3 linked regions of the Notamacropus eugenii genome follow. The protein of the gene in region 2 purifies or fractionates together with the protein of the main gene of each other region. This does not show direct contact. Links are inferred from orthologs where the notes say so. Each region holds a gene or a part of one and is shown on either strand. Other genes may lie near its edges.

Region 1 (7,504 bases), on a different chromosome or scaffold from region 2:
CTAGGAGGTACCCTCTCCCAAGTCCTATGTGCTCCCTTTATCTATATCCTGACAATCCCTTGGTCGAGGAAGCAGAGCTAATCATCAAAGGTACTATATCCCATCCCACCTCCTCCTTTCATTGAACATTGTGAAAAGTCATTTGGATTTGAAAGGAAGGGTCCCATTCTTACCTTCTCCAACTTTCCAGACACAGGGATGAGCTTTGGAGGTGGGCCCCTGAGATGGGCGCTTCGGGCTTGCTGCTCTCGGGAATCCTCAGTGTCACTACAGGGGCTGGAGGGTGAATCTCCCCGAAAGTCCTCATTGATGTATGTGAAGCCAGCATTTCCCACAGGCTTTCTGGTGGGTACTGGGGGGCACAGTGGCTCCTGGGCCCTACAACCACCCCCTCGAAGTAGTAGACCATCCTGTTGCCGGAAGAAGGGAGGTCCCGAGGGGGCAGGCCCTCCTCCAGGGCAGGGCCTGCCTGAAATAAGGCTGCTCACACTGCCCATGGTGGGCAGGTGGGGTGGGTGTGAGACTGTGCTCTCAGGGGTAGCTTCCAGGGGCACGGGCAGAGTCTGGACGATTGCCATGGTTGGAAGGACTGTGGCCTGGCCACAGGCCTTGAAGGCAACCTGCTGTGCAAGGAAGAAGGCCATGGTCAAAGCTTCCCATTCCTAAGCCTCTCTGCCAGACCTCTACTTCCCACTATAACCCACTGTTGAAACAGTACCCACCCAAAATTCCTCTGCCAACTCCCCATCCCCAGTTCTTCTCTATGCCCTTGACCCTAAGCCCCAGCCACCACCAAACAGCCCCAATTCTAAGCCTCCTCATCCTAAGCCTGTCCTGTGTCCTATTAAGCCCTGCTTCCAAACCCTGAAAACTTACCTCCCAACATATACACACATACAAACAGATGGACATGTCTAGTTCCTTGCTCCTTGTTAAGGCTAAAGGGAAAGGTCATGACTTCTCATGTCTCTAGAGCTCCCTTCTATCTCAATAGGGGCCAAGGGTCTGAGATAGATTTAAACTTTATGGGAAATAGGCTTCTCTTGGAAGGAGGATGGGAGAACAGAAGGGGAGGAAGAGTACAGAGAGGCTGGAAAAGGTGTCAAGAGCAAGGGCCAGATAGGGGGAGAGAAGTGGCCAAGCCGGCCCAACTGGTCAGATGAGTCTGGGGCCTCCAGGTAGGGCAGAAACCCCAGTCCGAGGTTTCAGGTCTTGCTGAGCCCCTACACTAAGGTCTAGGGCTCTTGTCCCCTCTGAGGTAGGCAGGTCTCTCTGGCTCAGCCCTTAGGAAGGGAAAACTCACTACCCACTGCAAGAGAGACACCACACACATACTATCCCTGTTCCCAGATGGTAATTAGGGAACGGAGAGCTGCCTGTGCCCTTCCTCCTCAAATCATACCAGTCAATGCACTGCTCCCCAAATTAATCAGTGGTCATTTGCCTCCCCATAAAAACCACCTACCCCCAGTTTTCAAGAAGTTGGGCTAGACTGAACCCTAAAACATTTAACTCTTAACCACCCTAGATGTCTCTGCCCCCAAAGAAAATTTGAGGGTTTAATGAACCCCTTCCTAGCTCACCAGGGACACAGAGTTTCCATGACAAACCCTGCCCTATCCCCAATATCACCTACTAAACCTCTCACCATCAGATTAGTCCTAAGGAACAGAGACAACCCCAGTAAGGAAGACTTGTCAGCTATGACCTGTAGAGAGTTCTTAAAAACACAGGCTCTAACTCTCCCCCTCCAAATGTTCCCAGGATCTAGCTGGAGCTAAACCGAGGAGGGTCTGGTGACCCTTGACCCTCAGCTTCATCTCCTTCTTAGGTTGGGAAGAGGAAGTGCCCATCTGGAACCCCAGCCCTTCCTGAGCCCTCCAAGGGTTTTAGACATCTGTTCAAGCCATCAGGACATGATCTGGAGATAAACGAAAGAGTGTGTGCGTGTGTGTGTGCTCTCAACACAAAGCACTGAAGCTGTATATGTATGAATTCACACATGAAGTACGTTTTTTCCCATTCCCCGCTCAGTGAAGGCCACATACAAATCCACTCCCCCCCCTTTTTAAACCTGTCCTCTCCCCATTTTCAGAATCAAACTATCTCAAGAACTGGAAAGGCATTGAGACAGATATCTAGTATAAGGTGAACCTGAACTCCTGGAGGCCCTTCAACTCCACTTCTCTCTTCCTTACCTCAGCCCCTCCCTCCCCAAATGAAAACACGACAGTGGGCTGGTGAAGTCTCTGTGAGAGCATCAGGTTCCCTCCAGCTGCAGCTGAAGACCAGAGAGCCTGATGCACCACAGCTCAGGCCCCGGACACCTCCTGGGGGTGGGGGGGTTTTAAGAAGATGATATGCCACCCTTAAGGTTACCAGGCACAGAGGAGTGGATCCGCCCCCCCCCCCCACAATGGTGGGTGGGTGGCTGTCTTAAGGGGTCACTAGGCGGACTAGTTTTCCCCATCTGCCTCCTTGTGAGCACAAGGAAAGTGCGGAGCGCTGGGTGGGAGGGAGGCAGGGAGACGCGGAAAGCTGGCAGAAGTGGAAGGGGGAGAGGGGGCGGAGACGAGCAGGGCAGCCGGAGTCTGGAAGTCCAGACTAGGCCGGAGCCTGGGGGGGCCGGGCTCCCGCTCTCTCCTTCCAAGCTGGAGGGAGGGGCTATCGGAGGCTCCATTTTGAGCAGCGTCTGTGTCTGCTCGGGGGGAAGGGGCCCCTCGGCTCCCCTCCCCCACCCCCACCCCCAGGTCGGACTTCGGGGCCAGGGCCAGGCTGGGCGCGCTCCAGCTGCCGGCGCCGCCGCCCCCCACCCCCACCCTGGGGGTCTGGAGTTCAGGAAGCTGCCTCCCAAACCCGCGGGGCTGCGGGGCGAGCGTGGGGGAGCGGAATCCAACCCCCGGACACCGAGCGGGAGGCTCCTCTCTGCGCCCCCCGACTAGCACGGAGTCTGCTAACGAAGGGCCTCGGCTGCTCCTAACTCCGGGGGCGCCGCGGCATCCCTCCCCGCGCCTGCCCCCCTCACCTCCGCCGCGCTGCTCCATGCTCACACCCCGGAGGCTCCCTCGGAGCCCTCGCTGCAGCCCGGATCCTCGGACGCCCCGAGAGCTTGACCGGGGCTCCGCCTCCCCTCCCCCCGGCTCCCGTCCCCTCCCCCTCCCTGACCCAAGCAAGGGAGGGGCAGAGCCCGGGGAAGGGGGAGGTAGCCCCGCCCCCAGCGCCTGGGCTCCGACACGCGCGCAGCCCACGTCACCCGTGTTCTGTAAGCACACAGACGTGCACATGTAAGCACGGATGCGCGCTGTTGCTCGCGCGGGATTCACGCACGTCAAACGCGGCCCCAAACAGGTCCGGAGTCTAGAAGTGGGGAGCACGCCTTCCCACGAAGCCACGCGGGGTGTGCACGAGAGCATGCAGAGGTGGGGGGCGGCCTGCGAGGGTCAGCACGGCCTTCCCCCGCCCCAAGGGGCCTAAGGCTGGCCGCTGGCCCGAGTACCAGCACAAAAGGCCTTGCGGCTCCTCCCCTTCCCAGCCCGGTCAGGCCGGCCCGAGCATCGGAGCCCCCCACCCCTTCCCATTCTCCTGCGGAGGGGGGCGGGAGAGAAGGATCCCGAGCGACCCCGACACCCCAAGGGGGGCCTCAGTTGCTGGCGTGACCCAGGGCCGGACAGGGGCCGATGCAGGGGCCCCTCTTCCTGTGTTCCTGCCCCGCTTGAGACGTCTAAGGGAAGGGTCCCCCCACTCCCCAAACTGCCGAAGCAAGACGAGATTAGGAGACCGTGTACCGACGGCCGCGGCCCAGCCCCGGGCACATCGCCCCACCACCACCACCACCACGTGACGGGCCTCCAGGCCTCGGCCCTCGGCCCGGGAGGGGAGGGCGGTCGGACGGCCGTTCTCCCCGCCCCGGTCCCCCGGCAGTCTTGGCCTTCCCAACCTCAGGGCTATTTTTAGCTCCCTGGAAAGAGTCTTGTTTTCCTTTTTTTCCCTCGAAAGGGGAAGACAGCCCCGCCCCGGCCCCGAAGGCACCGCCCCCGTCGGGACCAGCCACGCCCCCAAGCCCTCCCGCTCCGAAAACCTCGCCACTTCGGACACAGACCAGGCTTTCCGCCCATCACTGCCCCATCCTCCGACGGCTTCTCGCTACAGCCCTGCTCCCTCTCGAAGGCCGCGGGCCCGGATGGGCGGGGGGAGCTCTTTGCCCCCACTAGGCTTCCTGGGGCCGAGCCAGGCCTTCGGGTTCGCCAACACCCCGCCCCCTCCCGGCCCGGCGCCCACGTGTCCGCGCGGAGACACGTGATCCCAGTTTACCGCCTGGCCGGCCGGGAAGCCAGAACTGGGCCAAAATCTCCCAGGCTCCGCCCCCGGCCCTATCCCGCCCCCTCCACCCGTCGGGTCTTGGCTAGCGCACGAGGCTTCCGGTGCACGCTCGGGGGGCGCCCGCGGCTTTCTTTGTGCGAGCTGGCTCTCTCGGCGCGCCGGGGGCGGGGGGCGGCTGGGGAAGGTGGGTCTCCGGACTAGTTGGCGCGGCCCGGGCCGGGCCGCCAGTGCTCTCCTGCAGCCCGCAGGCGCCGGCCTTCCCCTCCTGCCGCCCAGTCCGACCTGCCTCGGAGGGAGCCCTCCCCGAGCCCGCACTCACCGAGGGCTGCCCCGAGCTTCTGGCTCAGTCTTCCGCCCGGCTGAGGCCTCCCAGCTGCTCCGCCCGCTGCCATCGCCTGCCCAGGCGGGAGGGGAGGGGCGGGGCGGGGCCGGCGGAGCCGCACCCGAGGGCCTGCGGCGAGTGAGGGCCCCGCCTGGCCCCCGCGACCCGGACCCCGAAGGACTTTGCGGCCCTAGAGGCCCTGCTCGGAAGGAAGACCGAGATCCCAGGACACCAACACCCAGGCCTTAAACTTTAGTTTGGGCCCACAGCGCCCCGCCCCCCCATGCTGCTAGAAGCAAAACTACCCACGGCGGGCCGCTTCCTGCCGCCTCCACGTGCCCTCGCACGGACGCCTCCCACTGGGCGTCCTGGGTCCCTCGGGCGGGGCGGGGGCTGGCCCGCCTTGTTTGTGTCCCCAAGCTCAGACCCTGGTCTGGCGCGTCTTCGGCCCTCCGGGCCCTCCCCCCTTAAGGTGTAGTGACCCAGAGGGACTCGAATTTCACCCGCGTTGGCCGTGTGGGGGTAGGGTGGGTAAGCGGCGGCATGAACAGCTTCGCAGACCTGGTGAAGCAGGGCTAGAACTCCTCGTTCTCGGGCCGGGCCCAGACCATCCTTTTCTCTGGGTCCGTGCGAGGCCTCCCTAAGTATTCTCTTTTCGTAGGACTAGATACCCCGCGCTCTCGTAGTCCTGGAAGTCCCAACTAGCCAAAGCAGGAAACGGGATGGGAATGGAGGGAGTGCAGCAGGCTAAGCGGTCCTGAGGGGCTGAAGCTATTACACTGCCCCGTTAGGACTGAGAGCACAGGGCCCAGGGCTGGAAGCCGGCTGCAGAGGTCAGGGCCTTACAAAAAGCTCCTTAGCCAAGCATTCCCCCAGTCCCTTCAGCTGGTTTTTCAGATCGTAAGCCATAGAAAACAGGAACCTTGATAGTGATTGCTAGCACAGGGCTCAGAGTATAACCGTCAGTTATCAAGTTCTCACTTGAACTCACGCACCAGACTACATCAGGCCCCACCTAGCCCAGGTCTGGGCTTTGGACTCTATCCCCTACTGGAAGGCTAATTTTGAGTATATTGGGTCGTTTTCATCCCCATTTCCAAGGGCCTTTAATATGTGTGTTGAATAGGAAAATGAGTAAACTGAGGCCGATGAAGTAGGTTCTGCCTGGGCCCACCCTCACGTTTTAGTGAGAGAGTTGCAGAAAACCCCACTGTAGATCTGAGGTTCCAGGAACATGTATCTGTTCTTGCATGGGTACAGGGTGTTTGTTAAGGTGTGTGTTTGTTTAAAGGGTGGGGCTGAGGAGGGGAGGGGAGATAAGGGAGGTTGTGTAGCTTCTTTTCCCTGGCCATTCTGGTTTGTACCGCGTGGGTTTTTCTGAATGTGAGGCAGCACCGGTGGCCCAGGATTTTACTTACCAATTCCTCCAAGCTCCACAAAGGGCATCCTGAGGAAGGTCCATTGAGGAATCCATACTGTTCACATAGGCTAGGCTAATCATACACCCCTTCCCAGGGATGTGCAGTTTTGAGGACTGGCTGTACTATAGAGTCTCTGCCTAAGTCTCTCATCCTGGCCAGCTCAAAGCTAGGAATTATTAAAACAAAAGTCTCAGCTCTATCCAGCCTGAGACCCAGAGAAACCAGGAGCTGTATCCCACTATACAACAAAACTTTCTACCTATCCCTGAAAACTGCCCAAGAATAGTCCTTTCCCTCCACCCCCAACACAGCAAGGCTAACAGGAGTGGGGCTTCATCCTGATCTACTCTTAACATTCATCAAGCCAGTACTACCAGCCATTGCCACTCTGCAGATATGCATGTAAACACACAGATGGATACACATAAATGTACTATAAGACTCTAATGGCTGAGCCCAGCCCCTTGAAAGGATCATGGATACTGGCCTGGTACCACCCCTGCTTTCCATACTTTGGGTAGGATGGGAAAGGGATCTGGGATGATGGCAGGAAAGGGAGAGCAGGAAAAGCCAAGTTTACAGGGTCAGATTGGGCCCCCCCCCCCATCTTGATACCATTTTCCTGGCTCTAATTCAAAGGGCTGCTGGGAAGCAAAGATAGAGGGTCTCCAGGTCAGGGGCTTGGGTGGACACCCTCATTCTCTATCCTAAGGATAAGAAACAAGGACAGGAGATGTTGGCATCATGGTATTGGGGGCACCACTGACACCTGGTGGTCATAGGTGGCAATCACAGAAAGCTAAAAATAAAAAATCAAAACATCTTTTTTAATAAAAGTGTAAGAGGGGTAGGGTGTGTTCAGAGAAGACTAGTGAGGGCTGCTCATCCACCTTTGGTGTCTGTTTGATTCATCCCCCTCTCACCTGTGGTTCCAAGAAGTTGTAGCATGCTCAGTAAACCATTTCAGCAGATGGCTAAACTATGTTGAGTGACCAAGGGGTCTTAGGGAGTGACTATCCCAAGTATGTGAAGATTTCCCAGGTGGAATGAGTGGAGAACAATTTATTCCAATGGCCACAATGGCTACTAAAGCAGGCACTATGGAGACATTACAGATGCCAACAGTCATCCATTGCATCTCAGGTCATCATCAGTCATCTTGATTTTGTCTTGACACTGGACTCCGATGACTCTGGAAGAGTAAGGATGATGATTATGTGCAACTCTGCCTCACTTTAATTTATACCAAAAAGACATCACCCATGCTGTTTTGCCATTTTAGCCAAATTTCCAAATGAAACAGTTTTAAATGCCATTAGGTGCCTTTCATATGGCAAAATGCCTGGTGTTGATTGGATTCTAACTGAAATTTACAAGGCAGGGAGTCAACTGCTCATACAAAAGCTGGCTGAAATCTTCCAAGTTACATGGCAAGAGGTGG
Region 2 (7,363 bases):
CAAAACAATACAAAAACTGAGGTATTCATTAATAAATGGAAAGTAATTCTTACTGCTGAAATCCATTTTTTCTATCACAGCTAAACCAACTCTTAATAGAAGAAATTCAAGTGAGCCTGGGTAAGATCCGGGCAATTAGATCACAATCTGGAAAACATCCACCCACAAAAAGTCTTTTTGGAGATTTTTAACTTCCAATGGGTCTGAAAGTCTTGGCCCTATTCTATATTCTATAATTCTATAAAGAATTATAAACACTAATATAGTGATATACTGAGAAGCGGAATTGTTCTGGAATTACAAACATCTTAAATGTAGCTGTAATACTATCAACGTAACTTTGTACCATGTTACATAGTCACTAATGGTTAAGAACTTTATTTAATAGAAAAAAGTAATAAACAAATGTCATGGCCTGGCAACTGGCCTGACTTAAGCCCCATTAAAAATCTATGGGATGTAATCAAGGTCAGACTTGGAAAAACAGACTGTTCAGTAAAGGTACACTTAATATCAAATGTGATTAAGTGTGAATTAAAGTATGTGTCAAAATCTTGTGAACTCAGTCGCAAATCATGTAAAACAAATAAGAGCAGCAAAAAAGTAGATTACATATTAAAATTTTTAAAGATGTAAAAAGTTGTAACATATATGCTGTGTCAAATATATTTTCTATTTTAATTTTTCTAGTTAATTTACAAATCAATATAAGTACATATGAAACTGTCATAACCTATTTTCACATGGATATCTATGTAGGATGCAATATAGACCCAAGTCACTGAAAACTTTCTGGTAAGAAAGTTTTTGTCTTGAGTACATCTAGAGTGTCGTTATAAAAACGACTGTATTCCAACATCAAATCTTTTTTTAAAAATTGGTTAGTTTGAATAGTTCAGAATCATTATGTATTTTAAAACTTTATCTATAACTAAGTCCCATAATTACTGTATTTGACACTATCCACACACTACACATAAAAATTATATGAATCTTATGCTACACAGAAATCTGTTGTCTACCTAGAATCAACATTCTTTATATCTGTTAAACCAAAGAACAGAAAAGAAATGTAGAAGTATGTAAAAGCAAAAACTTCCTTACATTAAAAAATATCCTTATGCCAATATATTTAATCATTTTAATTATGCAAATTACGAAATGGTACACAGATAAAGGCAAGGTACTTTAAAGGAATAAACCAAACTTATGTTTATCAAAATTCATTTTATATTCATCAACCACACAGGGTAGATCCCCAGGACCAACTTTTGTGAAACCATGGATACTCAGGATAGCCAGGAATAGATGAATGGAGATCTGCATTACTGAAGTCCCAAAAGATGAGATCACAGATCTATATGAATAGTTATCAATAGTCAAATAAGGTCTACAGCTAATCAGAATACTTGTTGAACTGTTATTCCACATAGAACAAATAGAGGAGAAAAGCTAAGAACTGCATTAAGAGTTTTCAGTGAATGAAGTACATAGTTTTCAAATACAAAAATACTTCTAACAGATTTCTTTAAAATAAATTTGGACAAAATGGCACCAGATCATCTCAGCCTTCACTTTCCAATTCAACAAACGATAGAGCCAATTACAAGCTAACAGCACTACTTCCCCTTAGTCATAAAGCTGTAATGACATGTAAATGGCTACACTATTCATTATTACTTATAATCAGCTGCTTATGTATCAAATGAACTCTTTTGCAGAATCAGGAGTGTTCTTTAATATTGTTAGTGTAAAGTCAATTTTTAAGGTATATCTATTTTCTGATGAGTAAGGCAAGAATCAAGCAAGTCTGGCACCAGAGAATTCTGATGATCAAGGAAAGAATAAAGTGGAACCTCAAGTTGGCTAAGAGATAGACACCTACTACGGTGCTATTTATAACTATGGAATTTGAATGGAGACACTGACCTTTTCTTTTCTGTATATGAAATATATTCACTGACTTTGGGGGTAAAATGCTGAATTCCAAACAGGCTCCGGGTTTATGTCCATAAATTTAAAAGCCACATCTGAAAACTTTTGTGGGTCCATTATGATAAACATGTTCTCTGTCATCCAATTCTCCAGTTGCTAAACAGGTATTTAAGTTGCCACCTCAAAAGGCCAAGTTTGCTTTAACTTCAGGGAATTTAGAGTACCACAGACTACCTGACTTTAAAAGCCCAAACAGATTAAAAGATTAAGATTATTATTTTTTTAAAATCATCTCCTCCACCACCTGCCCTTGTTTCCATCCTCTCACTGCAGCCTACCTACCCATGTTTGCGGATTCATTTTAACAAGGAAAAGGGTCCACTGCTGAATAATTCCTGACTTCTCTGCACAGCTGAAGCAGCTTTCCCTTGCACGGACCCAGCACTTTCTCCAACCCCAAGGATATAAAAAGAAGCCAGCCCTGTATGGCCACAAAAGGGGAGCACGGGGGGCACCAAGGGCTCCTCTCTCTGCTACCTGCCATCCCCATCCGCAGGAGTCGGGGTCCTTCCTCCTAACTTCCACTCACCCCACACTCCACTTCGCTAAAAGGAGCCGTTTCCGACTGCACCTCGCAGAGGCCTGCACCCGCAGCTCCTCCCCAGGCCGGCTCCACGAGGGGGGGATTCCGCCGGCAGGACCGGGACCAGGGACACTTCTTTCTAAAATGGCAGGTTTCCTCCCCAACGTATACATGCACACCTATGTAATTATTATACACGCACACGCGGCCTCCCTCTCCCTTCGCCCTGTATGTCACTGCAAGTCCTAGCTGGGGAGCCCGGCCTAGGACGGGGGGAAGGAAGGCTTCAGTGCCCGGGAGAGGCCTGCGGCCGGGGCCGGGGGCAGAGAGGGGAGGGAGGCTCCGGACACTCACCGAGACGACGGCGGCCGATGTCGGCTCCTGCTCCCCGGCTTCCCGCAGTTACGGTCCCATCCGAGGGCCTCGGGCTCCAGCACCGCCCCGGCCGCCTCTCTCCGCCCCCGGCACTTCCCGGCTCCACTCACCGGCCACTGCGTCTCAGGCTCCAGAGACCAGCAAGGCGACAACCCCCCTCCCCGGCAAATACCGCAGTCCCCGGCCTCGGAGGATCAGTCAGGCGGCGGGGCGAGGCCGAGCTAGGCCGGGCGAGGCCGGGCGCGGCGGGGAGGGCGGCGGTGGCGGCGGCCTCTCCCCGGCGGCCGCGGCCCGGGGTCCCTCAGTCTCCGCGGCTCCCGGCTCCTTTCCGAGTAAGATTTTGTAAATCTCACAAAATGGCGCGCGCTCCAAACCTGCGCAATGAGAAGCGCCGGGGCCGGGGCGGCGGCGGCGGCGGCGGCGGCGGCGGCTTATCCGCCAGAAAAGTCCTAGCCGCCCGCCCCCCGAGAGATCCTCCTAGCACGGACACACACGCACACGCACACACACACGCACACACACGCGCGCACACACTCACATTCACACTAGTTCTCCTCTCTCCCCTTCTCTCACAGACACTCACCCACACTCACTCTCACGCTCACACACACTCGCACTCTCACACACACACTCGCACTCTCACACACTCACACACTCACACACACACCGGTCTCTCCCGCAGCAGCGGCGGCGGCGGCAGCAGCAGCAGGAACAGTAGTAGCAGGAACAGCAGCGCCCGTGGCACCCGCACCCCCAGCTCGAGGTGTCCGCTCCCCGCGCCGGCCTGGGCCTGATCCACCGCAGCCACCGCAGCAGCCTCCCGGATTCCCCCGCCGCAGTTGCCGCTACCGCCCCCACCTCACTCCCAGGGAGCTTTTTATTATTATTCGGGCGGGAAGCGAAAGGGTTTAAAAAAAAACCCTACCAACAAAATGGCGACTGACCGACCCGGTCGCTATGGCAACTGTCAATCAAACAGCAAAACCCCGGCTGACGTGCTGACGTCCTCCTCCTACCCCACTTCCCCAAACCGGCGGGCGGGGCCTGTCGCCGGGGTAACGGCGAATTCCGTTCCCTCCTTTTCCTGGCTGCCTCCCTTCCCCCCACCAACCACCCAACCCCCTTCGGTCACGTGAAGGATAAATTCGGCGCTGTTTTGCTGCCAAGTGTCAGAGGAGGGCGCGTGATTCACTCTGGGGAGGGGGCAGAAGGAAGGAAGGAGAAGAAGGGAAGGATGACTAGAGGTGTGATGGGGTGGGGAAAGCAGAGAAGGAGGGAGGAGGGAGCGGATCCCATTTTTGTATTTCTAAGTGCTGCATTTGTAGAGGGAGAAAGAGATTCTGGCTCCACGCGCGCGCAGACACGCGCACACACACGCACACACGCACACACACACACACACACACACACACACACACATCTAACACACATTCCCAAACCCCGCCCCAAACGAGGCTGGCCACCAGAAATCTGGAGAGCTGCCACCCACCGGACTAGAGTCTGGCGTCCTCCCCATAATGCACAGCAGCTTCGGGGAGGGCCCCACTGCAGGCACTGGGAGGCGGGGGTGGAGACGGGGAAGACTAGCTGAGCCTCCGGAGTCCGGTGCCCCGTGCCCCGTGCCCCTCCCTGGCGGCCCCGCCCGCCGCACTCACCTCCGAGAAGAGAAGCCATCCCCCGGGCCGGCCCTGGGCGCCCTAACCAAGAAGCGGGGCCGGGAGACCCGCGTTGGAGCCCGGAGTTCTGCAGTCTTCACGTGGAAGTGTCACGCCGACAGCAGCCTGAGGACCGGCGTCCAGGACGGGAAACCCCGTCCCCCAGAAGGGGGGCACGGGGGAACCCTGGGTTTTTTTCCTTTCTCGTCCACTTACCTGAGTATTTCGTGTGCCCCACTTGGTGAAAGCGAGCTGTCCCGGTATGCTTTTTTAAAGGCATATGACCCAGGAAGGGATGAAAGTCTCAACCTGGAGCTGGGCTCATAATTGGTGCCTTCTGCATAGTCAGATCTGAATAAAGCAAGCCAAGAATGCCCTTGCTTCTGACCACCCAGATTAATTCACTGACACAGTGTGTGTGTGTGTGTGTGTGTGTGTGTGTGTGTGTGTGTGTGTGTGTGTGTGTGTGTGTGTGTGTGTGTGTGTGTGTGTGTGTGTGTGTGTGTGTGTGTGTGTGTGTGTGTGTGTGGTGTGTGTTCGCAAGAGAAAACCTATCCCTCTCAGCGAGTCTACTTGCGGTTAAAATATCCACGGATACACTTACCTTTTCTTTAGCCAGCCATAGGATACAATTGTTTCAAAGCAAAGACATTTAAAAGTCACATGCCGAGTTACGATTTCAAGGTACAAAATATAGATACAGTATCATTGGGGAGAATGGACACGCGCACACACACACACACACAAGGGGAACGTGTAGAAGGTAACTTGAACCTCTCATGCTGCAGGACCATGAATTTCTCCTGTTGGCATGATTCAACAAGCATTTATTGAGCTCTTACTGTGTACCAGGCACTATGCTAAGCACTGGGGATACAAAGAAAGGTCAAAGACAGTCCCTGCTGTCAAGGAACTAAAGACAGTCTAATGGGGAAGACAAACAAGATGCAGACAAGAGAAACTGGAGATAATCCACAGAGATAAGACATTAACATTAAAGGGGATTGGAAAGGCCTTTTGCAGAAGATGGGATTTTGCCTGAGATTTGATGGAAGCCAGGGATGTTGGGCAGCAATAAGTAAAAAGAGTTCCACTCATGGGGGACAGCCAGTGAAAATGTGCAGTCAGGAGATGGAGTTCCAGCAACAGCAAAGTGTATCACAGAGTGCATGAAGGGATGTAAAGAGTAAAAGGACTGGAAAAGGAAGAATGAGCAGGTTATGGAGGGCTTTAAAAAGCCAGAGGATTTTGTAACTTGTTCCAGGAGACAAAAGGGAGTTAGTGTAGTTGATTGAATGGGGAGGGGATAGGATGATATGGACAAACTTGCTCTTTAGGAATATTAATTGGTTCTGGAAGATGGAGTCTTACTGCTTCTCTCACTGGACTTGTCACTCTCACCTCCTCTTGGTGGATTCTTGGTGGCCACCAACCGGTCATCTCAGCTGAAATTATCTTACCAGCTAACAAAAGCCAAGTTGAATACCTCCAGGTCTCTTTTCGAAACCTATGTATAAGTGGAGATCTCAACCTTCCATTAGCTAATCACTCTCTAACCTATCTGATTTAATATGCAAAAGAATTTGATCAGAAAAATGGTAAGCTAAGAAGGCAAGCCTTTCCACTCACTCCACTCCTGCCTTTACTGTCCACAGCTATCGGCTGTATTTTGATTGACTGAAAAATTTTGCTGTCTCCCTACATAAATGATTGCTGTGGTTGTTGTTATTAAGGCACTCAGTTGTGATGCCACAGACCATAGCACAACAGGCTCTTCTGTCTCCTAAAATCTATTCAAACTCATGTTCATTATTTCTATGATACTATCTACCTATCTCATTCTCTGTCATTCCCTTCTCTTTTTTTTGTCTTCAATCTTTCCCAACATCATGGTCTTTTCCAATGAGTCCCATCTTCTCATTGTGACCAAAGTATTTAAGCTTTAGCTTTTGTATTTGACCTTCCAATGAATAGGTTGAATTAATTTCTTTAAGTATTGACTGATTTGATCTCCTTGCTGTCCAAGGAACTTTCAAAAAGTGTATTCCAGCACCAAAATTCTAAAGTGTCAATTCTGTAGCACTCAGCTTTTCTTTTACTCCAGTTATCATAACCATACATTGCTAGTGGAAAAGCCATAGCTTTGACTACATGAACTTTTTTACTGGCAAGGTGATGTCTCTGCTTTTTAATATGGTGTCCAAATTTGCCATAACTTCCCTTCCAAGAAGCAAGTGTCTTTTAGTTTTATGGCTGCAGTCACCATCTGCAGTGATCTTTGAACTCAAGTGTATAAATTCTGACACTGCTTTCATTTCTTCTCCCTTTGTCAGAAATTGATGGGACCAGTTGTCAAGATCTTAGAATATTTGATGTTAAGGTTTAAACAAGCTTTTTACACTCTCTTCTTTCACTCTCATCAAGAAGCTTCTTAATTCTTCTTCACTTTCTGCCATCAGAGTGGCATCTGCATATCTGAGGCAGTCGATATTTTTTCTAGCAATCTTAATTCTGGCTTTTGATTCGTCCAACCTGGCATTTCTTATGATGTACTCTGCAAATAAGTTAAATAAGATAACATGAGTGTTAAAAATGATTGGATTCTAGGTATCAAAAAACTCTCCCTTTAGCCTTAGACCAAACTTTCTCATCTTTTCTTAGCCTTGAGCTTCCTTTTTAGATGTATATAATTAATTCAAGCAGGAAATGTCACTCAAGTATCTTTGCCAAGAAAACCCCACAAAAAAATAGGACATTACTAAAATGATCGAACAACAAATTAATTCAATATGTTAGGTTCAAAGCTATCCCGCTG
Region 3 (7,257 bases), on a different chromosome or scaffold from region 2:
ACCTCTCAGGTTGTTGTGAGGATGAGATGAAACAATAATTGTAAAGCTCTTAGCACAGTGCCTGGAACATAAAAGATGCCACATATTAGCTATTATTATTAACCCTGGGGATACAAAGAAAGGAAAACTCTCCACTTCTACCCATGACACCTCTCCACTCCTGAAAAAAAACAAAAAATCACCCCTTACTATGTACAAAAAAGATATATACAGAATAAATTGGGGTCAGTCTCAGATGAAAGACACAAAGATTAAGGAAGGCTAGGAAAGGCTTTTTGCAGAAGGGAGGGCTTTAGTTGAGGCTTGAAGAAAGGCAGAAAGTTAGGAGGAAGAGATGAGGGAGAGCTTTCTAAGGGCAGCCAATAAAAATGTTCAGTGGCAATGGTGAGGAACATCAAGGAAGTAAGTGTCCATGGATGACAGAGTACATGGAGAAGGGTAAGGAGTAAGAAGACTGGGAAGGTAGGAAAGGGGCATGTTATGAAAGGTTTTAAGAATCAAACAGGATTTTATATTTGATCTTGGAAGAAACAGGGTGTCACTTGAGTTTAGTAAATGGGGTAATGGAGGAGAGGTCAGACTTGAGGAAGATCAATTTAATAAATGAGCAGAGGCTGGACTGAAGTTGGAAGAGACTTGAGGCAGGAAGACCAACCAGAAGGCTATTGCAATAGGAGATACTCTCATATCTGGGGATGATCTGCAACTAGGTGGAGTCCCCTTTCAAACAAAGAATTTTTTTATTCTGTGCAAAAGCTTGAAACTTTTACCAGGAAACAAAATCAATTCTCTACCTTTGTTTGCCACCTCCTGATAACTGACATGACCTTCAAGGACTCCAAGAAGGCTTCTCTTTACATTTCCTCCTCTCCTCTCTGAACTGATAGAGTACTTCTGTTTCCCCTACTGGTTGTTGTCCTTCTGTTCTTCGTTCTCAAAGAGGATTAAAATGACATCACCATGATAAAATGAAATTTCAGTGTGTCTGACTGTGGCTGATCAGACTAATACGACCTCGGAATGCTCTACCACAGGCTGGGCACAGATAGTCCGTGTGGATATTTGGAGTGGATACTCCAAATTTGTGCATACTACATTTACTTTGTGCTATTTTAATTCTGCTTTGTTCATAGAGCACAGCACCCTTTCTGATGTAGGCATGCCATGCTGAGCGGTCCTGTGCCAGTGTCTCCCATGTTGCACAGTCAAATCCAAAGTACTTGAGAGTCTCCTTGTACCATTTCTTCTGGCCACCATGTGATCACCTGCCCCATACAAGTTCTCCATAAAATAGCCTTTTTGGCAAGTGTACATTTGCATTCTAACAACGTGGCCAGCCCATCAGAGTTGTGCTCTCTGAAGCATAGTTTGAATACTTGGCAGTTCAGTTCAAGCAAAGACTTCAGTGTCTGGTACCTTATCCTGCCAGGGGATCCTCAGAATCTTCCTAAGACAGTTCAAATGGAAGTGATTCAGTTTCCTGGTATGGTACTGGTAGACTGTCCATGTTTCACAGGCATACAACAATGAGGTCAGCACAATGGCTCTGTAGACCTTCAGTTTGGTAGTCAATCTAATATCTCTTCTCTCTCAAACTTTCCTTCTGAGACTCCCAGACACTGAGCTAGCTCTGGCAATGCATGCATCAACCTCATTGTCAATGTGTACATCCCTGGAAAGTACACTACCAAGGAAAGTGAACTTATCCACAGCATTCAAAACTTCTCCATTTGTTGTAACCAAAGGTTCCACATATGGATGGTGTAGTGATGGCTAATGAAGCACCTGTGTTTTCTTGGTGTTAATTATTAGACCAAAATTAGCACAGACAGCAGAGAATTGATCCATATTTTGTTGTATCTCAGCTTCAGAGGCTGCATTCAGTGCACAATCATCTGCAAACAGAAAATCATGCACCAACACTCCCTCTACTTTAGTCTTGGCTTGTAGCCTTTTCAAATTGATGAACTTACCATCAGTATGGTAGTTGATCTTGATACCATGTTCAACCTCATTGAAAGCATTTGACAACATGGCTAAAAACATCATGCTAAAAAGCATGGGAGCAAGCACACAGCCCTGTTTCACTTCGTTGGTGACTGGGAAGGCACAAGAGCACTGTCCACTATCCATAACCCAGGCAAACATGCCATCATGAAATTGACGTACAATACTGATGAACTTCTCCAGGCAACCAAATTTTGACATAACTTTTCATAAGCCTTCATGATTAACAGTGTCAAAGGCCTTGGTCAGATCTACAAACATTGTGTACAGACTTCTGTTCTGCTCCTGTATTTCTCCTGGAGTTGTTGGGCAGCAAACACCATATCTACAGCTCCTTGGCCCTTTCTGAAGCCACATGGACTCTCAGGTATATGACCATCTTCCAGGTGAAACATTAGCCTATTAAGGACGACTCTAGCAAGAATTTTGCCAGCAATGACTAAGAGAGAGACCCCCCCGTTACTGTCACAGGATAATCTATTCTCTTTACCTTTACAGAGATAGACAATGGAGACATCCTTGAACTCCTGGGACATAACCTCCTCTTCCCATATAACTTGGAAAATTTCAGTCAGCTTTTGCGTGAGCAATGGTTCCCTTACCTTGTAAATCTCAGGTAGAACAGAATCAGCACCAGGAACTTTGTCACATGAAAGAAGCCTAACGGCCCTCAAAACATCTTCTTCATTTGAAAATTCAGCTAAGGAGGGATTAACTTCAACCTGAGGTAAATGGTCAATGGCCTCAGCATTGACTGATGATGGTCTGTTGAGAATACTATGGAAGTGTTCAGTCCATCTCTCTAGGATCATGTCCTTATCACTAATCAATGTGGCTCCATCAGCACTGAGTAGTTGTGATGCACCATTGGTTATAGCTTTCTGTTGCATTTGGCCAGCACAACACATTTTGTTTCATATTGTCATCTAATTGTTCTATGAATGTTAGCCTTGTCTTTCTTGCAAGATTATAACATCCTCTGAGCAGAAGTCTGGGATAGTAGAAAGAGTAGGCTGGGCAAAGAGTAAAGAGACTTGTGTTCAAGTGCTGGCACACTTACTGACTTTTTGACTTTGGGTAAGCCCTATCACTCTGGGCCTTCATTTCCCCATCTGTAAAATGGGAATAATAATACACTATCTACCTCACTCAAATTATGACAAAAGAGGTATTGATTTTTATCTATGTTTTCATGCCACCTGGCTCCAGGTTTGGGGCACCACCCTGATCAAATAGACTTGTTGAATTAAAGTGGAAAAGGTCCCTTAATGTAAATGTTAACTTACCAGAGATGACTGTTTGCTATACTAGATCTGTTTAAACTTTCCAAAAACAAACAAAAAAACCCTTTTTAAGATCCCAACAAAGTGAAGTAACTCTGTTTGATCATGCTAATTCAAAAGGGTAGGGGCGGGAACAAATGACAAAACAATTTTTTTCACTTAAAGTCTTATGACAGTCAAGGTCTCTGAGTCACTTTTGCAATGTAGAAGGCACTCTGCCAACCAGCTTAAGAAAAAACCAAACAGCATTACTAGCATGTAACGTTTGGTGGGTGATGCAACCGCTTACTGAGGGCAAGCTTGCAAAACTGTTCCCTCTTCTAAAATTCCAACAGTAAAGGTATGATAAAGTCTACCCTGCCTTTCTTAATCTCTATTTTCTAGACCATGGCACCTCTGAGGTCATTTAATCCAACTCCCTCATTTTACAGATGAGGTTACAGTGGCCAAGAGAGAATAAAGGACCAGACCAAGGTCACATGGCTTCATCCACTCTTAAATCCAACATCATAAAGCCAAGGCAGACAGAAGGAAGGCATCGCTGGGATGTTTTGACAAAAGTCAAGGACAGATTTTATTTTGACAGCCTTTCATCTGTTCTCACTATCCCTGTCCTTAAACTCATCCCAGAGGCAAAGAGGCATTGCCTTTGGAGTCAGAAGACCTCTGCCTACTTCTGCGACACTGAGCAAAGCCCTTCAATTAAATTCCTCAGTTTCCTCACCTCTAAAATAAGGGTTTGGAGTAGAGGTTTCCGAGATCTCTTAAAGCTCCAGATCTATGATCCAATGAATATAAACTAATTTCCCCGAGAGTGGGATTCGAACTTGTGAACACCGAATACGAACGGAGCTTGTCTAACAGGCTTGTCTAAGTAACCCGGAGTGTTCCGATTTTCAGAAACCTTCGAGTGTTATTGAGTGGGACGCTGGAAGTTCTGCGCATGTGTCAAAAATTCGGCCACCGTTTCCTACCTCAGAAGTTCCTCGGGTTTCGACGGGAAAAACTACGGCGCACGCGCATTCAAAACCCTCTCCAACTTCGATTCGCTCCGTAATTGACGGAAATAGCCGAGCCTCCCCGGCGAAGGGCACGGGAGAGATATTTCTTGATTGATCTGCGGGTAAGGAATCTTGCTCTTCCACGCACTTCACTTTGCAGATAGAACTTAGAGAGTTTTTCCCCCCGGCAAGAAATCACACCCCCCCCCCACTTCCGCGAAGGCTGGGACGCCAGCGTCAGGGGCGGGACGAAGCGGGGTCACGCTGTGACGTAAGGGTCGGACACGTCGGCGGCGGCGGCGGCCGAGGCAACCGGAGCCGGATGTGCCAAGATGGCTGCAGCTGCCGTGGGGTCTACGTTGGGGAGAGCCGGAGCCGCTGCCGCTGCCTTTCCCCGCGGCTGCTGAGCGGAGCGGGCGGGCGAACGCTCGGGGAACGGCTGTGTGGCCGCAGCGGCCTCCCCGCGGCGGGCTTGTGGGACGAGGGAGCCCGGCCTGCCCGGGGCTCTGTCAGGTAAGCAGGGGGTGGAGGTGGGGGCCCGAGGGGACGGAGCAGCCCCGGTCCGCAGGAAGGATGCGCCGCGGGCGGCGAGCGTCTCCACTCGCTGGAGCGCTTCCTTCCGAGCCTGCCGGCGCCGCCGCCTCCGGGAAGCCTCCCCGGCCCTGGGAAGAGCCGAGCCCAGGGGACCCTCCAGTGGGTTCGGAGTCGGGAGTGTTAATCCGCCCTGTGACTCTGCTCAAGTTTCTCTGTGTAGGATGAGAGTTGGGACTGGATGATCTTCAAGAGTCCTCTGATTCCTAGGGGGCATTCCAGCATTCTAACCCAGAGCCGGGAGGCCCTCAGGAAAGCCTCCCCAGGCCTGCCCTCGGTGCCTCTAGCTCTCATCCCATCCCCCGAGCCCCCGAACTGCGTTCCTGCAGTGGGGGAGGAGGGGTGCGGTGGGTGCCGAGCAGCGAAGACGTTTGGATTCCAGGCCTTTTTCAGCACCCAGATGATGGGGAACCTTGGAGGAGGCTTTTTTTCAGAGAAGCAGCTTCATGCCGTCAAAAGACCCGTGGATCCTGGAGTCAGAAGGACTTTTGTAGGAATCCCGGTTCTTTTACTACCTGTGGGTCCCTTCAGTCAGTTCTTGTTCACCTAAACATTTATAAGTGCCTCCTAGGTGTAAGGTGCTTCCTCCAGGCCTCAGTTTCCATATTTGTAAAACGAAGGAGGTTGGAATAGGAGGATCTTTAAGGTCCCTTCCAGCTCCCAAATTTTACAGTCATACAAAACTCATCCATACATTAACAGTAATGCTTTTTGGTATTTCTCAGTTAACAGCAGTTGCTTATTTTACTGAGACAGGGAGGAACTGAGGCCTTGAGAGAGCCAGTGAGGAGTCATATAAAGAATTAGTGAAGGAACTGTAGAATGCAGATCTTTTGACTCCTGAGTCAAATTTACTCTCTTTCAATGACTCTTGCTTATTGTATGTACTTTTCTTGTATAGTTGTCCTAGTTTTGAGTGCTAATAACACAACAAAATGCTTTCTTCACGGCCTTTTGAAGTAGGTAGTACAGATAGTTTTTTCATTTTAGAGAGAAGAAAACAGTGGTGAAGAGACTTGCTAGTGCTCAGTCAGCACAGGTTAACAAGTTAAGCACTCACTTTGTGTCCAACACTATGCTAAAGCACGGGGGGTACAAATGAAGGAGAAAACAAGGTCCCTTCACTCAAGGAGCTCACATTTTAATGAGGGGGATGACATGCAAATCATTCCATATATACTGGATAGAAATAAAGTAAATGAAATGTTATCTCGAAAGGAAGTAGTGCTGCGGGGGTTAGGTAAGGCCTCCTACAAAAACTGGGGTTTAAACTGAGTCTTGAAGGAAGACAGGAAAGCTAAGAAGCAGAGGCGAAGACATGGGAAACAGTCAGAAAAAAGGCACAAAGTCAGGAGACCAGGAGTCCCGTTCAAGGAAATGTAAATAGGCCAGTGCAGATGGACCATAGAAAGGAGAACAGGAAAATTTAAGAAGACTGGACAGATAGGAAGGAATCAGGTTGTAAAGTGCTATGATAACCAAACCAAGGACTTTAACTTTGATTCAAAGATAAGAGGGAACCACTGAAATTTATTGAGTAGAGGGTATTTATGACATGGTTATGCATTTTTGCTTTAGGAAAGTCACTTTTGGCAGCTAAGTGGAGGCTGGAATGGAAGAAGGAGGCCAATTAGAAGGCTATTGCAATAGTCAGGTGAGAGATGATGAGGACCTGTAGCTACAGTGGTGACTGTGTGATTGGAGAGAATGTACACACAGTAAGTGAGCATCAGAAGCAGGACTCAGGTCTTCTAAAGTCCAGTACTAATTTAATTTCCTTACCCTATATTGTCTCCAGTGCTTCTAATTACTATTAGCTTTTATTATGGCTTATCCTCCCCTTTCCTCCCTCATTTTTTGTCAGAATGAAAATCAAGCCTCACCTAAAAAAAGTCCACAGGAAGCACTGCAAGTGTTATTCTCTTTTTTAAGATAAGGAAGCTGAGGCCCAGAGAAGAAGTTTTGGGGATTTAAAGTCAAAAGACCTGGGCTGATATACTGACTCTGCCACTTATGGTTTATTCTCCAAAATGAGGGGGTTATATTAATGATGTCTTACAATTCTGAATCCTCTGATCCTATAAAGAGCCTGTAGTGTACATAGCATTGTACCAGTTGCTAGGTAACATAAAAAGTCAGACCTGGATCTTGCCCTTATAGTGTTTATAGTCTAATAGTATAGTACAAGCACAGATAAGGTAATAAACAATACAAAACAGTGCTGAGTAAGGACTAAATAGAGAGGTAATTCATTTGAACACCAAGAACGTCTTTAAAAGATACATAGAAATTCTCCAGCCTGAGGCAGGAAGCACGTTCCAGGTATAAGGAACAGAGCAACCTCACAGAAGCTTGAGAAGCCTGTATTTTAGGGG

Evidence for each region. Proteins that work in one complex are often made in the same cells at the same time.
Region 1: the proteins of DYRK1A (region 2) and LZTS2 purify together in Homo sapiens (affinity purification with mass spectrometry; 8 studies listed by BioGRID and IntAct, counting the BioPlex papers as one, with this or other methods). This does not show direct contact. The link is inferred for Notamacropus eugenii from reciprocal best matches to the Homo sapiens genes DYRK1A and LZTS2.
Region 3: the proteins of DYRK1A (region 2) and SEC16A purify together in Homo sapiens (affinity purification with mass spectrometry, with the first as the bait; 3 studies listed by BioGRID). This does not show direct contact. The link is inferred for Notamacropus eugenii from reciprocal best matches to the Homo sapiens genes DYRK1A and SEC16A.

The regions. Positions count from the first base shown.
Region 1 is NC_092872.1:178,969,965-178,977,468, reverse strand, and holds the start of LZTS2 (leucine zipper putative tumor suppressor 2), read right to left. Parts: upstream 3,003-7,504; 5' UTR 645-3,002; coding exon 174-644; intron 1-173. UniProt on the Homo sapiens protein: Negative regulator of katanin-mediated microtubule severing and release from the centrosome. Required for central spindle formation and the completion of cytokinesis.
Region 2 is NC_092876.1:420,705,998-420,713,360, reverse strand, and holds the start of DYRK1A (dual specificity tyrosine-phosphorylation-regulated kinase 1A), read right to left. Parts: upstream 3,003-7,363; 5' UTR 2,873-3,002; intron 1-2,872. UniProt on the Homo sapiens protein: Dual-specificity kinase which possesses both serine/threonine and tyrosine kinase activities. Exhibits a substrate preference for proline at position P+1 and arginine at position P-3.
Region 3 is NC_092872.1:489,635,391-489,642,647, forward strand, and holds the start of SEC16A (protein transport protein Sec16A), read left to right. Parts: upstream 1-4,255; 5' UTR 4,256-4,413; intron 4,414-4,666; exon of another isoform or gene 4,667-4,804; intron 4,805-7,257. UniProt on the Homo sapiens protein: Acts as a molecular scaffold that plays a key role in the organization of the endoplasmic reticulum exit sites (ERES), also known as transitional endoplasmic reticulum (tER).